Linked DNA regions of Stegostoma tigrinum. The protein of the gene in region 2 interacts with the protein of the main gene of each other region in a pairwise test. Links are inferred from orthologs where the notes say so. Each region holds a gene or a part of one and is shown on either strand. Other genes may lie near its edges.

Region 1 (9,255 bases), on a different chromosome or scaffold from region 2:
TTACTCAGGCATTCTTTCATTCTCATGAGGGGAATTAAAAGTTGGCAGATGTATCCATTATGTAACCTTAAGTGCCTTATTGGATGTGAGAGAGAGAGAGAGAGAGAGGCAGGTCAATTTTAAAAACACAGCCCATGTGCAGTAATTTTTTCTAAAAACAAACAAGCGGTGGCAATTACTGCTGCATTCTCAAAAAAAAAGAACAAATATTATTAAGCTACCACATTGAGTTAAGGCTGACCGTGTTTATTCAGTTTTAAATACTCTTGTTAAAAATGACATGCTACTGCGCTTTTGATACAACCAGAACTACTACAGTTTCTGGGGAAAAATAAAGAGGTCTACAGGTCATTAGTCAAGCACAAGGATAAAACCTTGTCAACCACAAACGAATTACAAAACCATGGTTTGTTAAGAGTTAATCTAAAGCTTCTTACAAAATAGGATTACTCTATTATTATGAAATTGTCAACTTGAGATTTGATTGTGCAGCACATATGCTTTTAAATTAACCCACCAGTCTTTCCAATCAATTCAACTGCTTCTCCAAATTGCAAATCTCATCTTTTCAGTTATCAGACATGATAATTTTGTGAAACTGTCTGTCAACCACATCCTCAAATGCAATTTAAGAATTTGGTCTGATTTCACTTCCAATCTCCAACTTTAGTTGTATTAAGCAGTTTTTAAAAAATAAATATATACCTGTTGGAGAATTATGACCCTTATAACAAACAAAATAATTAGTCTTTATGGGGTCAATATTTTGCTTAACTTCTGTCAATTAAAGCTTCTCTTTCACCCATTTGCCCTGAAAAAAAGTCAAATCTTAATCTTCAAAACCATTTCTTCATACATAGCTCTGCCCATATTGTGTAAAAGTGCAATGTGTCATTAGCAACTTAATTCAGCTCACAAACACTCAGCTGAAACATTGCTCACATTCCTACAAAAACCTCCAACTAGTCACACAGACAAGTAATTTCCACCTCAGAGTTACACACTTGGTATATTGCACTACAATAGATTTCCTTGGTAGAGAACAGCCGCTTACTCATAGGTTGAGTAGTTTGCCGTTCAATCTGGACCGCTCATGGTTAAAATACTTTATTATTCTAGCACAGTTTAAATTTGTAAAGAATTCAGAACAAGTTGCTTTTAACTCATACAGTACAATAAAGATACACAGCAATCAATATACTGATCACAAAGCCATGCTCTTATTTTTGACAGAAAGGAGTGCAGGTTAACAATAAGAACAGACTGGGCACTTCAGGTTCTAAAACTAAAAACAGAAAACCCAAGGAAAAGGTTAGTTTGCAAAGCAGAAATTTGCATGCAACCTCTTTAGAAGCAGTGGTCTCACTTGTCCTTTTATCATGTCTGTGGACTTTCACTTCAGGAACTTTTCTAAATTATTTTATTATAAACTGAAATATTAAGTGGTTTATTTGTAATCAATCTTATGAAACTACAATTATAAAAGCTCAAGATTTGCAAGATGATGGGTTTGTTCAAACCCCTTGGCTCAGCTGAGAACAGGAATAAGAAAAAAAGAGAGGCAAGCAGAGAAAGGGAATCATTTATCAAATCCCAAGTCAAGGTACAAGAAAAGAAGTGGGAAATTGTTTAAAAAAACACAATTTCATTGATATCTGAAAATTATTTTCTTTTGTTAATGTAGACATTAAAGTGATTTTTTTAAGTGTTCCAACTGCACTTTAAAACTTCTATGCACCTAATTTAAAGCTGACTGTCTTTAAAAAGGACAGTAAATTATATATTCTAATTAGCTAAGTAATATCACGACTAGCTCAAGGTTCAAAATGAGCACTAGTATAATTAAGTTAAAAACAATTTCCACTCACAGGAAGGCCAACAACCTGAGAAGAGATTTAGAAATTGCATTTGTGTTATCATAGTCTGGAATGCACTGTTTAAAACAGAAGGCAGGATTAGATTAATGGTAACAAATAAAAGGAAATTGAAAGCAAGCAAAAGTTACAGGGAAAGGAGTAGTGTTATCTCTCTAAATTTGATTGTCTGTGCTTATTGGACTATGGACTGAATAATTTTGTTCTGCATTACATTATATAATCATACTGGTACTGAAAGTTACCAAGTTTCAGAAGAAGAAGAAACTTGTTATCCTCCTACTCGGCACCTTTAAAAAAGGCCTAAAAACAGTTATAGAAAGAAGCAAAGGCATTAAACTAGGAGAGAAGCAAAACTGAAAGTACCTGTGAAATTCAGGGGGAATGACTGCATCTAGGACAATAAATTTCTGTTCTGTCAGGTGTATTAAAATTGATGTTTCAAGTTCAGTGACTGTCAGAACTGAAAACAGCTGGGAAATAGTGGCAGTTCCACTGGTTTTTGTTTGGGGGTGGTGAAGTGGGGAGTTGGAAGAAAGCACAGACCTCATAAATGTGAGGGTGCCCAGAAAGAGAGCAACATTCAAAGAAGAGTAACAACAGTGGAGAACTTTACCAATTTGCTAAGTTAGTTATGATGCTATTTTGTTCTCTAATTGAGAGAAAGTCATGAAACAAGAACAGAAACTACTGGGAGAAACTCAGCAGGTCTGGCAGCATCTGGGGAGAGAGACAGTAAAGTTTCCAGTCCAGCGACCCTTCAGAATTCATATTGGACCTGAAAAGGTCAAGTGCTTCTGAGGCCACCAGGCGCTAAGACCCGCTGAGTTTCTCCGGATAATACATCTGTTTTTATTTCAACTTTGCAGCAACCGCAGTACTTCTCTATGGTTTTGTTTTTCACTCCAATTCCTGCCAGGGCTATTTTAAAAATCTTCCACACCCCCCCAAAAAATACCACCAACTCTGGCTGGTGCAACTTTCAAGTCATAACAACAAGTTTGGAAGTTGTACAACTCATCCCTCCACCTTATTGCAGCAAACAACAAAAAGTGTGTGTCTCTCTCTCACACACACACACACACACACACACACACACACACACACACACACACACACTTACCTCCCACGGTGGATTTGTAGTTCTTACTGAAGCTGTCGTTAGCATAACGCTGCACCAGGGAGGTCTTACCCACCGTGCAGTCCCCAATGACCAGCACCTTGAACAGGTAGTCATTCGCCATACTGCAGAGAGAACACTGACTGAATGAGGGAAGATGCAGCAACTGGAGCTCGTCATAAACATCCTCCCTGAGGCCCTGGAGACAACATCCCCTCCCCTTTTTTTTTAAAAAAAGCACCACCCCACTTAATTTACCGTCCTTACACCCCGGGTGGTGTAAGGAGGGGCGGGGGAGAATGAACAGCGTCGCGATGCCCTCGTTAAGTTTGTTTTTTGTTTCACGGGACGCGCTGTAAATTTTCCGCCCGCATCCAGGACGCGGTCACGTGGACCCAGACGCCGGCGGTGCACTCTGGGAACCGTAGTTCGCCGCTCGCCGGGCGGAAGTGCCACGCCCGCTCCGATCCCACGGCGGAAGGACTACAACTCCCGAAATGCACCGCTCTGGGCGTGTTTAGAGCCGGGAGAGAAGCTGGACCGAAGGGTCTGTTATGGTACCGTGCCACTCTATGACTTTTGTACGGCGAGTCCAGTTGAGTTTCTGGCCAGTGGTAATCCAGGATGTTGATAGTAGGAAGTGCGGTGACGGTAACATCCTTGAATGTCAAGGAGTGGTGTTCAGATGGCCTCTTAATAGAGATGGTCATTGTCTGGTATTTATGTAGCATGAACTTGCCACTTTTCAGTCCAAGCCTGGTCATTGCCTGGATGGCATTTGAAAATGGACTGCTTTGGTATCTGAGGTCTCACGAATGGTGCTGAACATTGTGCAGTCATCAGTGTACATCCCCAACTTCTGACCTCATGATGGAGGGAGGGCTATAAATGAAGTATCTGAAGATAGTTGGGCCTAGGTCACTAGTCTGAAGAACTTCTGCAGAGATGTTCTAGAGTTGAGCTGACTAACCTCCAATAATCACAACCATCTTCCTCTATGCCAGGTATGACTCCAACCAACAGAGAGTTTGCCTCCTGACACCCATTGATTGTAGTTTTGCTAGGGTTCCTTGACGTCAAGGGTTATCACTCACCTCTGGAATTCAGCCCTAACAGTAAAAAATCTGCTCATATGTAACTGTGTGAAATGTTTTTGATAAAACTACCGTAAAGCACTTTGGAACATTTTATTATTTTAAAGGTGATGAATAAGTGCACATTACTTTTTTCCTATCCTATTAAGTCTTATCATTCTAAAATATGTCCATCACAGCATCTCTTAGCCTTCTTTCCTCTAGAAAAATGAATTCCAATCTGATCAGCATTTCTTTCAGTTTCAGTTATCTAAAATGTGATGAAAATTCATCTTATTTGAAAACCTGCATTCTAAAAAAGAATAATCATGTATAACTTTGATTTGTATTTCTATATTGTGTACCAAAAGGAGTCATGGTTTTAGTTCCATTTTAGATTTGTTTGAAATGACACGGAGGTATTTGAAGTTTGTTAATGTAGGCATTTTTAATGAGGGTATGTAGTCTTGCAGTTGAACTTAAGGTATAATAGGAAATTATTAGGAAAAATGGTCAGGAAAGAAAAAACACTGCAGTTCCCTAGTGTCAAGAGTCAATTATCACAGAATGACACACCATCTGGAAGGTCAGGGTGTATGCAGGTTCAGTTAGAGAGAAAAGGTGGTGTTAATTTAGCAATCTCCAAAACAGTCCTGAATTGTGCAAGAGAAAGCAGCCAGAAAGTCAAAGCGTTTGTGTCTGTAGATACAAGACAGTGGAAGCTGAAGTGCTAAGCTTAAAGACAAGGCAGAAAACTGCTGGGAGATGAGGATATGTGTTTGCTTTAAAGTATTTATGTCAGTAAGAGGAAACCTCCAGAAATTAACTAAAACTATGCCACCTGAACAAGGAATTTTAAAGTGGAAATAGGTTTGCCCTACATTGAGTTGTGAACACCTCTAAATGGAAGGTAAAGTCACTGTAGTCCCAGAGGACTACAAAGCTGCTCTCTCAGTGGAGAGATGACTGGTGGTGAGCATAACCCTTTGTTCACCATACTTCAGGTGAAGGGAGAATTTGAGAAGGTTGACCTTCGTGGTGACCTCAGCCGATATTGGAATTGAACCAGTCTGTTGGCGTCACTCTGCATCGCAAACCAGGTATCCAGTCACCGAGTTAACTGACCCCCTATGGGGTACTGTGGTGCAATGGCAGTATCATTACATCTGGGCCAGAGGTCTGGTTTCACGTCTCACCTGTCCTGAGGGTGTGTCATAATATGTTCAAACAGTTTGATTAAAATAATCTTAAGTGATCTGCTGTCAGCATGACTTACTTCCTCATGCTTAATGAGTATCTGTAACATTGTTGTTGAGGTTAAAAGAATTTTGTGTGTGATTTTTGTAGTAAAACTGTTTCAAATTGTTCTTGTATATTATATTTACCATTTTTTGCCTATGAACTCTCACCAAGTTCCATTCAATCACATTCATTGACACCAAATTGAGTAACGTCTCCCCTTTAAGTTTCTCAAACTTCTCTTGAAATTCTCCAATGGCCTCACTCTTCCTCTTCTCCTGTAATTTCCAGGCCTACAATTCTACTAAGTACAAAGCTGTCTAATTCTGGCCTCTTGAATACTCAACTCTCCCTTTCTCTAGCTGTACAAAGCTCCTCAAAACGTATCTCTGACCAAATGTTTGATCATCCACCTCGATGTAGCTTGGCATTGAACTTTGTTTCATAGTGCACTTGTGAAGCACCCTTGTGCCATGTAAATGCTGTTGTCTCCACTGGGTAGTGGGTCTGTTTGTTAGTCCAATATTCTTTATTTTGCATATGTACCTTACTTTACGAGGGAACAATTTTCAGCATAATCATTGATGTTATTTTGCTTGTTGCCAAAAACTTATTAATTCTTATATGAAACAAATCCCTGTTTTTCATTTATTTGCTATTCAGATTTTTCTGAAACATTCCTCCAGTGAATGGTGAGGACCCACTGTAAATGTATACTAGCTGGTTTCAATAGGAAGATGTTAATATTTAGAAATTCCATTTCCTCCTGTCCCACTTCAGACTTTTAAAAAAGACTCCACCAAAAATGCTAACTTCAGGTGTCAGATGCCATTTATTTCCAAGACTTATTTTATTTCCTTATATATGAAATGTGAGTGCGCCTTGCTGGTCTAGCATTTATGGCTTCTTCCTAGTTACCTTTTTGAGAAGGTGGTGGTGAGCTTCCTTCTTGAATCACTGCAGTCCACGTGCTGTAGGTAGACTCACAATGCTATTAGGGAGGGAATTCCAGGATGTTATATTAGAAATTTACAACAATTATCTGGACAAATTTAGGGCAGCATGGTGGCTCAGTGGTTAGCACTGCTGCGTCACAGCGCCAGGAGCCTGCATTCAATTCCACTTTGGGTAACTGTGTGTGGAGTTTGCACATTCTTCCCATGTCTACATGGGTTTCCTCCCACACTTCAAAGGGTAGGTGGCTTGGCCATGCTAAATTTCCCAGAGTGTTCAGGGATGTGTAGATTAGGTGGGTGACAGGGGAGGGCTGAAGGGCCTGTTTCCACACTGTAGAGATTCTGTGGATTCTTTAGAAAATTAGACCTTACAGATGTATGGTGCCACAGCACATGGGGATCCCTTGTATCACTAATGAAGATGTTCTGATTGGAATACTTCTTATTGCTACATAGCAATCATCAGGACTCAATCAATTTGTGCTTTTTGTAAATTATTCACTATGCCCATCTGTTTAGTAAGACAGACTGAAATGAGCAACTCTGGTATACAGAGCTGATCTCCAAAATAAATATGCAGTTTTATCCATATCGTATTTTCAAAATCTCCCCTTCCCCCACTGCATCCCAAAACCAGCCCAGCTCGTCCCCTCCCCCACTGCATCCCAAAACCAGCCCAGCTTGTCGCCGCCTCCCTAATCTGTTCTTCCTCTCACCTATCCCTTCCTCCCCCCTCAAGCCGCACCTCCATATCCTACCTACTATTTATCCTGCCTCCTTGACTGTCTGTCTTCCCTGGACTGACCTATCCCCTCCCTACCTCCCCACCTATCTTCTTTTCTTTCCAACTTCGGTCTGCCTCCCCTCTCTCCCTATTTATTCCAGAACCCTCTCCCCATCCCCCTCTCTGAAGAAGGGTCTAGGCCCGAAACGTCAGCATTTGTGCTCCTAAGATGCTGCTTGGCCTGCTGTGTTCATCCAGCTCCACACTTTGTTATCTCTTATCTCCAAAATAAATGTGCAGTTTTATCCACATCGTATTTCAAACTCCTTGAAATTGTAGTATATGTTTAACAACGGGAAACAAACGATACCCTCGCTGCTTTCTACCACTCTTGAAATTGTACTCCTGTCAAAGTCACAACCATTGTTTGCTTTGTTTCCAGTTCCAGACCATCTCCCACATCCTCAGTACTGATGAGATTTCCAAGACAATAGAAGCTGTTTCCCCAGTGGCATATGTTGGATACTTGTTGTCAAGTGCAGCATTGTGTTTTACAAACCAGAATGCCCATGTTCAGTGTCCAATCTGTGCCAACTCAGTTATGCTAGCAAGAAGGATGCTACAATTGGTATTATTGAGGATAGAGGTGAGAAGATTTCAGCCAGGTTTCTGTACATGATTGCCCTCCCTTGAGTCTTGCTGAAAGATGCATATTGTTGGACGGCAACAGAATACAAGATTTGACAAGCATATTCAATTGGACATAATTTTTAAAAAGAGATAGAGGGAAATTGCATGAATTCCAACATGCATCTGAGAATTTTAAAACCTAAAACAAATTACGCTTGGACCTCCTAGTGACGATATAATACATCTGAGTGGTTTACACATTGAAAAATCACAATGCCATGACACTCCAGAAGAAGCTGTTGTAATAACCAGTGTCTAGGCACCATAATCAAAAGTAGCAGAGGAATGAAAAAGGCAAAGATTAAAAATAAAAAAGTTCACCATTGTACGACATTTTATTTTTATCAAATACAGACTCCCAAAACGTTCACGACATCTTGGCAATTTAGAATATAAATATTAATTTTGGCTATACTGTGCAGGAAACTGGCTCAGGATACTGAGCACGACAGGGCTGGATCTGGAAGAAATTCCATTCACAGTACAAGAATAAAATTAGGACAACACAAATGTAGTTTGTCAGTACAAATATTCTGATTCGGTCATACATTTATAGATTTAATCCCACAGGAAAAAAAAAAGTGACAAGAGCACAGACAAAAAACAAAAATCAGAACAGGCGACAAACTCTGATAGCAAAATGTAACTTGTTTCCTTGTGGGGTGATAGTTTTAAGACTGACTGAATGATTGCACTGAATATACTTTTTCTTTGTTGGTCCAATTGACCGTAACAGTGGCAAACTAGCAGATTCAGTGCAATTATCCTGATTTTCTTCATCCCGGATTAGTCAGATGTCACCGACAAACAGAATAATCACAATTAAGTTGGCAATTTTCTCTTGTTTAACAGAACAGTTAAAAAAAAAGGAAGCCCAAACATTTTAAAATCTTGCCTGGTCTGCAAAAATACAACTATACCCTCCACTTGTTCATTTTACACAGTGTGTGCACATTCATTTATAGATATAATTCTTTCAAACAGATTTAACAATTGTTAAAGTACTTATATACTGTTAGCACTCCTCAGTAGAATCACTTACTGGGGTAACTGATGCCCAGGGACATAATTGTGTTTTTTTTAAATACCAAAAGAAAACATTTGAATTTTCAGAATGAATGTAATTTCCTTCAGAAAACAGGGAGGTAACTATTATGATTTGACGTATCCTTTCTTTAAAAAAGTGTCAGATTAATCAGGAACTGTGGATAATAGAAAAAAATTCACCAAATGGATACTGTAGATGGTTATGGTCCATAACTTTCTGTGCAACAGTAATTAATTAAGAGTCATCTGATATTTTCCTACAAAGGTGAACTGCAACAAAAGTTGACATCTAAGCAATTAATGCAGAGGTTTTCAAGAAGGCTGTGATAACCCTTCATCAATTGGATTTGAGGCACACACAGCTCCACGAGCACATTTATACCAACATCAAGCACAGGTAGCTATGGTTTATGCTTATACCCTATATATGCATCCACACATCAATAAGGCATATCCACAGGAAAGATTTTAATGACATTATATGAAGTACTTTAACATTTAGTTGGATTAACTTGAATTCATTTAATCAGGT
Region 2 (9,000 bases):
GATTACCATCAACCTCTCTTGTATATGCTGGACATGAACAGTAACCAAAAGGAAAAGGGGTCTTGTAGCCAGCACTAAAAATAACTTGCAACTGTATTTATCTTTTCATTGGTAAGAATCAGTACTGAAATTCTCATTTTACAAACAAAAATCTATTGCAGAAAATTTAACTGGGGATATAAACCTTTAAAAAAAATACATATTTGGCATCAAAGAGAAAGAAGTTGACATGAAAGACACTGGGAAGTACTGTAATGGTTGAACAATTAAAAACTGACCCCACTGTAGAAGTGGTCCATAAGGGATGAAAAGGTGTTGTAGCCCCGATAGTTCAACGATGTGGATCAAAACAGTCAAGTTAGTAGAGCTAAAGTAATTAGCTAATTTGCTGCATGAAGTAATAGGCAATGTAAGGTGGGAAATAGAAACCAAACCGGTTTAAAGAAGACATATCCCTTAATACCTTTGTTTAACAAAAATGCATCTTAGATTTAAATTAACAACTGATTGAGCATCCATTGCCATTTGAGGAAGACAGTTCCAAACCTCTCCTATCCTTCATGTGTCAGAAGCTTCCTAATATCTAACCTTAAAGCTCTGGCCCTAATTCTCAGACTATGCCCCTAGTTGTAGAGTATCCAATAAGTGGGCCCTGTTATTCCCTGTTAATAATCTCGAAGACCTCGATCAGATCACCTTTTAACCTTCTAAATTCAAGAGAAAACAGGCCTAATTTGGATAATCTCTCCTGATGACCCCTGAAATCCAGGAATCATTCTTATAACCTGTACTGTACCCCCTCCAAGGCTGATGTATGGTTCTAAGACGTGGTCCCAGGATCTGCTCACAGTTCTCCAAGTAAGGTCTAACTAGGGTTTAGCATGACTTCAGCATAACTTTTGCACCCTTGTGCTCCAGTCCTTTAGATATATATATGCCCACAGTCCATGAGCTTTCTTGATTGTGTCACTCACTGCAGAATTCCTAACTTCTGACCTCCTCTTATAGTCATTGTCTGTATGGCTGATCCTATTCCATTTAATGTCAATGATAACGCGCAGGTTGTTGATAGTGGGGAGTTCAGTGATGGGATTGCCATTGAACATAAACGGAAGATGGTTAAATCTTCTCATATCAGAGATGATCTTTGACTCACACTTGCATGGCACTAACATTAGTTATCATTTATCAGTCCAGGATGTTGTCCAGGACTTACTACTTAATTATAACTATATTAATTATGGTAAATTTAGGATTACTCACAATGTTGTGTGATGAACAATCAATGATTAAACAGATGGCACAGAAAGCAGGTTTCTGGTTTCTACATTGCTGAAACAAGCTCTGGGAAAGATAATAACAATACAGATTAGATTAGATTCCCTACAGTGTGGAAACAGGCCCTTCGGCCCAACAAGCCCACACCGCCACATGAAGCATCCCACCCAGCCCATCCCCCTATAACCCACACACCCCTGAACACCACAGGCAATTTAGCATGGCCGATCCACCTAACCTGCACATCTTTGGACTGTGGGAGGAAACCGGAGCACCTGGAGGAAACCCACGCAGACACGGGGAGAATGTGCAAGCTCCACACAGGCAGTCACCCGAGGCTGGAACCGAACCTGGGTCCCTGACGTTGTGAGGTTGCAGTGCTAACCACTGAGCCACTGTGCCACCCTAATGGGAGGTCATTCATCAGATTCAGATCAGTGGTTAGCACTGCTGCACTGGAACTCAGGTTCTATTCCACCCTCGGGCAACTGTGTGTGGAGTTTGCAGTGTCCCTGTGTCTGCATGGGTTTCCTCTGGGTGCTCCGGTTTCCCCCCACGGTCCAAAGGTGTGCAGGCTAGGTGGGTTGGCCATGCTAAATTGCCCAGTGTTCAGGGACGTGTAGATTAGGTGGGTTATAGTGGGATTGGTCTGGGTGGGATGTCTGAGGGTTGGTGTGGACTTGTTGGGCTGAAGGGCCTGTTTCCATGCTACAGGGATTCTATGATTCTAGATCAGAACCAATGTCTTTGCAACAAGGGTGAAGGGAAGGTTAAGAAGTGAATAATATGAAGAAGACATGGTACAAAACAAGGACCAGTGCACATAATTCTGAAAACTATCAACAGAAGGTTCATAGTAAAAGGATATGGAGCATCCAGGGAAATAATGATAAGGCAAACAAAGATATTAACTTGGGGAATGAATGACTAAAATGCCTCAAGTGCGAATGTGCACTTCAAAGATTCTACCAAAGACAGAGATCAGATTCGATCAGCATTATGAGTAGAATAACTCAGGTGATCTTGATCAATGCTAGAATAAGGTGAAAACACTGCAAATGGGGTAAACAACGTGATCATTAGGCAAGGGGAATCTACACAAATTCTAGGTCCAGAGGGAGAATGGGGCCAATGAAATTAAAGAAGCATACAGAGGAACAGATGAAGCAGCTTTAAGTGATAAATTAAAGTCAAGGTATGAAAACATAATTCTGTAAACAATAATGAATTCTAACTTGGGCAATCAAATTACTTTGTGAAAAGGGCCAATTCCATGTTTAATATTATGTAGCCAACAGTAAAAGAAAGAAAGAACATCTGAGCATTTATACCAACATTAGGAGAACTACCCCACCAGAGGGGGGAGGGCAACAGACTGACATAGTAAAATTCCACAGGATTGTAGCAATGTACCAGCATTCCAGAATCTTCCATCATCATCCATGGTGTTTTCTCGCCCATCAACAGTGGACAGTCGCAAGATGAAGTCACATAAGAAGACACAGAGCTGACAATTCTCAACACTGACCCTCGTTGCCTAACATTCAACTGAAACTACTACACAGTACTACATGCATACAAAACATAACATCAACATTGCTGGCTACAGACAGAGCTAAGCAGGTCCACAAGTATGGCATCACAACAAAACCTCTACCCTAACTATATCTAGTCAAAAATGGTGATCGACAACCAGTCAACTAGTGAGAGGAGTGCATGAACATGACCGTCACAATATCAGAACCCAACATAAGGCTGGAATACAAGTAACTTTATTCCAATAATGCCACGGAGACCTTCATACCTTGATAGGCAAAGGAATCGAGGGTTATGGAGGTGCAGACAGGAAAGTGGTGTTGACAATGAGACTGAAGTATGGAGACATACTTGAATGAATGGGAGAAGGCCATTCAGCCATAAATTCCAACTAGGCTGACTCCTCCCAAGGGTCCCCACCATCACAGATGCCAGTGCCCAGGGCAAAGTGGTCCAATCAGAGGGCAAGAGAGCCTGGTCATGGCAACTCCCCGAAGACCAGACTCCCAACGGATGTTCCAAAACGCTTTTTTTTTAGGGCGGGGAGAACCACCAGGAGAGAAAGCTTTAACAAAAAAAATCATAAAACAATAAACTAAAAGGGTCACTGGCCTTGAGACATTAACTCGTTTCTCTGACTCCTCATACGCTGCCAGACCTGTTGAGTTTATCCAGCAATTTACTGTTTTTATTTCAAGCTTGCAAGGAATGTGAAACTTAAAGGGGGAGGGAATCAAAACAGAGAGGAGCAGAGAAAATTGCTGGAAATGTTCTGCAGAAGGGGAAGGAGGAGAGAGAAAGGGAGAATGTTTGAGGCTAGGACCCATGTGAAGGACCATCGTGACAGAGGCCAGGACTCACTACTCACTCAGGTAGTCCTCAGCCGACATTGAGAATCGGTCCGCGTTCATCCTCCCACCCAGGTCAGAACCAAGAGATACCGAGAGAAAATCCGCCGTTTTCTCCTCAACACCTACAACCCGCACCAGCTTCTGCTGTTACCATAACAGCAGGCTTCTCCGGAAACGTGCCACCGCAAAAGATTCCCCCTCTCAGCACTCCAGGCCCCTGAACTATGGTTCCTGTTGTGAGAGGAGCCTGCCTAAGTCCCAGCTCAGAAATCTCACTCCAGCGTGCTGCAAGGATGTGCACAGCTCGGGTTTAAAACACAAATAACCCCCTCTCTCCCCCGCCCCAGACTAAAGGTTTCATTCGCTGTTTTCTTTTCTTAGAAAGCATGGCAAAAGTTAACTTGCTGCCTTGCATTCAATTGCATGTCCCACACAGTACTAGAGTACTCCTGCAAACTAAAACTGGGCTCAGGTAGCAATGGGAGCCCAGATGCCAGAAGGGAGAAAGTGAAAGACAGGGTGAAGGGTTTTCCAATTGGGAAGGGAGGTGGCAAAGCAAAACATTTAAGCAGGGAATGCCAGAGACAGCTAAATGCAGTGGCTGCTCCAGAAGAACTGATTTTGGGGATGATGTATAGCACAGTCTCACAGCCATGCTAAGTTGCCCAGTGTCTAGAGTGGGAAATGCAGAGATAGGGGAGGCATTGGCTCTGGGTGTGATCCTCTTTGGAGGGTCGATATGGACCTGATGGGCCAAACTGCCTGCTTCTACACTGTAGGGATTCTATGACTCTAATGGGAAATAGCCATTTGAAAGGACAGGTCAGAGAAATTGAAGATTTGAGGGAATCAGTTTACAGTAATGGGGAAAAAAATATATGCGAAACCAAGGGGCAATTTTCTTACACAGAGGGTGGTACACATATGGAATGAGCTGCCAACAGAAGTGGTTGAGGTAGGTATATTAACAACATTTAAAAGGCATTTGGACAAATACATGGATAAGTAAGGTTTAGGAGGATATGGGCCAAATGCAGAGAAATGGGTTAGAGTGAATGGACGTTTTGGTTGGTGTGGACAATTTGGGCCAAAGGAATGGTCTCCATTCTGCAGGACTTTATGACTCTTACAATTTTTTTAAACTTTAAGTTAACAGAATTTTTATATCTAGAGCTATTGGGTCCATACTCAGGAACCATTCAACTTGTGTTTTTTTTTGTTCTCTTTGTACATTTACTGTACAATGTTTATATCAAACTTGCATTTATGTATCACTGTTCATGGTCATTGAATGCTCCAAAGCACTAACAGTTAAAGGAGTACTTTTGAAGATTATAATACAGAAAATGCAAATCATATTGAGAACAGCAAGCTCCCACAAGCTGCAAAATGACGATAATATATTTTTGTGACGTTGATTGAGAAATTACTTCAAAACAGTACCACACATGCACCACTCCTCCAAAACTGCTCTCGAGTGATTTAAATATTATGCTCAATTTTCGAGTGGGACTTGAATCCATAAACTTCATACACACAGGTAAATGTACTTGTAAGTGACCACAGATCAGTACTATCATGGAGAGTACTACTTCAAAACCCAATCAAACAAATCATTTTCCACATTAGAAAAAAAATAGGGGCATCAACACATCTTTTAACATTTAAGGCTGTTTATTCTACATCATTTTGTACTATGCATTATTAATGCAATAATTGACGAATTGGAATCAACATCACTGAAATCATAACGTTTCCCCACAGTGTGGAAACAGACCATTCGGTCCATCGAGTCCACACTGATTCTTCAAACAGCATCTCGCCCAGACCTACCCCCTAACCCTATCCCCATAACCCTGCATTTCCCATGGCCAATCCACCTAACCTGCACATCATTGGGCTGTGGAAGGAAACTGCAGCAGCTGCATGAAACCCATGCAGATAAGGGGAGAATATGCAAACTCCACACAGGCATTCGCCCGTGGGTGGAATTGAACCAGGATCCCTGGTGCTGTGAGGCAGCAGTGCTAGCCACTGGGTGGCCTTATTATGTGGACAAAATTATGGAATGTAAATCGGTAAAGTGTCCAATGGTCCAAGTCAGACTAGAATATTACAAGTGATTCTAGATAGTAAAACATAAGGGAAGCATTCAATCAATAATGGTGACTTAGAAAAAGAATTAGAGACTGGTGTCAGAGAACTCAGTTATGAAGAACGTTGGAGAAAAATGACTCCAATTTACTTTGAAAGGTGGTGACATTATAAGAGTCAATAATGGCAGAGAGGAGGTAGGAACATAAAAGCAGGAGTAGGCTATTTAGTCCTTCAAACCTTCTCCACTATTCACTAAGATCTTGGTTGATAGCTTCGTGGTATTGATTTGTAAAAGTAAATTCAGAAAAGATCACAGGCACAATGAATGTAAGTTTAAGATGAATGTCCAGAAATACTCCTCATAAAGAGTGGATGATTTCCATTGAGAAAAATCCTCAGAATTCCTTAAGAAACAATTGAATGCCAATTATTGTACTTCCTGAACTTCAAGAACTTCATTCTGAAGTAGGGTCACTAGACCCAAAACTTTGCTTTCTCTCCACACATGCTGCCAGACCTGCTGAGTTTTTACCAGCAATTTCTATTTGTGTTTATTTGTGGCTCTCCTAGGTCCCACTTTCATTGTTGCACTTAGCAAAATCCTAAGAAATCCATTTTACAGTGGCCTTGTTGACATCAGAGTATGTTAACATTTGAGACATTTTGTTTGACGCTGGAAGTTTTTCTTTTTTGTGGCTTTTTAAATTCAGGTTGCCATCTGGAGAGTTAAGGAGGTCAGCCCTAAAACTTTGAGTGGCAACGTGACAAAGAAAATATAGTTACTTTACTTCTATTTCTCCCGAAGCTGGACAAAGAAATAATGAGGAAGCAGTAAGCTTGCTCACCATATGATTGCATTTTAAATATATTTATACTAAAGGGAAAGATAATGTTAATTTGTAGAAGTAACAATTCTACTGCATGAATTCATCCTGAAAGCACTTAGTGCTGAAACTGAGAGTAAAAAGTCAAAAAATTATCTGACACAATTTCCTCTGCAAAAAATTATTGAAGATATTAAGAAACTGGGGAGCTAGTTCTTTAAATCATTAAATCATACTATGTTTTGCCAGTTTATAACAATCACCTTAAGTAATCAGAGATAATGGGAACTGCAGATGCTGGAGATTCCAAGATAATAAAATGTGAGGCTGGATGAACACAGCAGGCCAAGCAGCATCTCAGGAGCACAAAAGCTGACGTTTCGGGCCCTCTGATGAAGGGTCTAGGCCCGAAACGTCAGCTTTTGTGCTCCTGAGATGCTGCTTGGCCTGCTGTGTTCATCCAGCCTCACACCTTAAGTAATCACATCTCCTCTTTAAGTAGTGCTCAATTACAATTACATGCCTGTTAACACTGCAGTAAAAAAACAAGAGATTACCTGGTGTTTCTCCTGAAACATAGACAGTCAGATATCCAAATTTGCTGACAGTACCAAGATTAACGGCACATTAAACAATGCAGATGGGCGCAGAAGCTTATAAAGGGAGGTTGATAGATTGAGAGAGTGGAGAAAACATGGAAAATGATGTACACTGGTCGGGGAAATGAGAGCTAATGAATGCAAGAAAGATGGAGTAGAGCACGTTCTAAAATGACGAGAAACCGGAGACGCTGTAGTAATCTGTTTAAGATAATGAGTACAGAAAGTATAAAAGACTAAATGTACAACAATTAATCCAAAATGCAAATTGTTGCAATACATTATGGTGCATGACTTGGACGGTAGCTGGTGGACAGCAATAAATGCTGATCATCGGCCTCTGATTAGAGCAAGGAAGTATGCAATTTGTGCACGGTGACAGTGAGGTAGAGGCATCGGAGGGTAAAAACACTGTGGCTTCACATCGGTATCGATTGATCTGATGAGGTGCCTGCAGTAAAAGAGGGGTTGACCCAATGCGTGTTGTGCAGGAGAATTCTGGGCAGGTCAAAGAGTTGACTTTGTCAGCTGGAAATGTTATGGCACACAGCTGGCATGCTGTACTGTGGCCCAGGATTCTTTTGATGAACAATTCCATTTTGCAGGGGACACATTTCTGTCAACTGTAGTTATCAGCCATTTCCATCCACACCTGCTTGGTCAAACAGGCAGTCCCCCTCTTTCCTCCCACTTCCTACAGACTAAGGGGGTGGCCATGGGCACCCGCATGGGCCCCAGCTATGCCTGCCTCTTTGTCGGTTACGTGGAACAGTCCCTCTTCCGCACCTACACAGGCCCCAAACCCCACCTCTTCCTCCGTTACATTGATGACTGTATCGGCGCCGCCTCTTGCTCTCCAGAGGAGCTCGAACAGTTCATCCACTTCACCAACACCTTCCACCCCAACCTTCAGTTCATCTGGGCCATCTCCAGCACATCCCTCACCTTCCTGGACCTCTCAGTCTCCATCTCAGGCAACCAGCTTGTCCATTTCATGCCCACCGACTCCCACAGCGACCTAGAATACACCTCCTCCCACCCACCCTCCTGCAAAAATCCATCCCCTATTCCCAATTCCTCCGCCTCCGCCGCATCTGCTCCCAGGATGAGGCATACAACTCCCGCACATCCCAGATGTCCAAGTTCTTCAAGGACCGCAACTTTCCCCCTACAGTGGTCGAGAACGCCCTTGACCGCGTCTCCCGCATTTCCTGCAACACATCCCTTCCACCCCACCCCCACCCAAAGAGGATCCCCCTCGTTCTCACACACCACCCCACCAACCTCCGGATAAAACGCATCATCCTCCGACACATCTGCCATCTACAATCCGACCCCACCACCCAAGACATTTTTCCATCCCACCCTTGTCTGCTTTCTGGAGAGACCACTCTCTCTGTGACTCCCTTGTTCGCTCCACACTGCCCTCCAACCCCACCACACCCGGCACTTTCCCCTGCAACCGCAGGAAATGCTACACTTGCCCCCACACCTCCTCCCTCACCCCTATACCAGGCCCCAAGATGACTTTCCATATTAGGCAGACGTTCAGCTGCACATCTGCCAATCTGTTATACTGCATCTACTGTACCCGGTGTGGCTTCCTCTACATTGGGGAAACCAAGCGGAGGCTTGGGGACTGCTTTGCAGACCTCCGCTCGGTTCGCAATAAACAACTGCACCTCCCAGTCGCAAACCATTTCCACTCCCCCTCCCATTCTCTTGATGACATGTCCATCATGGGCCTCCTGCAGTGCCACAATGATGCCACCCGAAGGTTGCAGGAACAGCAACTCATATTCCGCTTGGGAACCC

Evidence for each region.
Region 1: the proteins of cstpp1 (region 2) and ras-related protein Rab-7L1-like interact in a two-hybrid assay, tested with the Homo sapiens proteins (2 studies listed by BioGRID and IntAct). The two-hybrid records come from large-scale screens. The link is inferred for Stegostoma tigrinum from reciprocal best matches to the Homo sapiens genes CSTPP1 and RAB29.

The regions. Positions count from the first base shown.
Region 1 is NC_081374.1:13,082,065-13,091,319, forward strand, and holds the start of ras-related protein Rab-7L1-like, read right to left. Parts: upstream 3,384-9,255; 5' UTR 3,119-3,383; coding exon 2,998-3,118; intron 1-2,997. UniProt on the Homo sapiens protein: The small GTPases Rab are key regulators in vesicle trafficking. Essential for maintaining the integrity of the endosome-trans-Golgi network structure.
Region 2 is NC_081370.1:51,241,601-51,250,600, forward strand, and holds the start of cstpp1 (centriolar satellite-associated tubulin polyglutamylase complex regulator 1), read right to left. Parts: upstream 3,856-9,000; 5' UTR 3,726-3,855; coding exon 3,683-3,725; intron 1-3,682. UniProt on the Homo sapiens protein: Regulator of the tubulin polyglutamylase complex (TPGC) that controls cytoskeletal organization, nuclear shape, and cilium disassembly by balancing microtubule and actin assembly.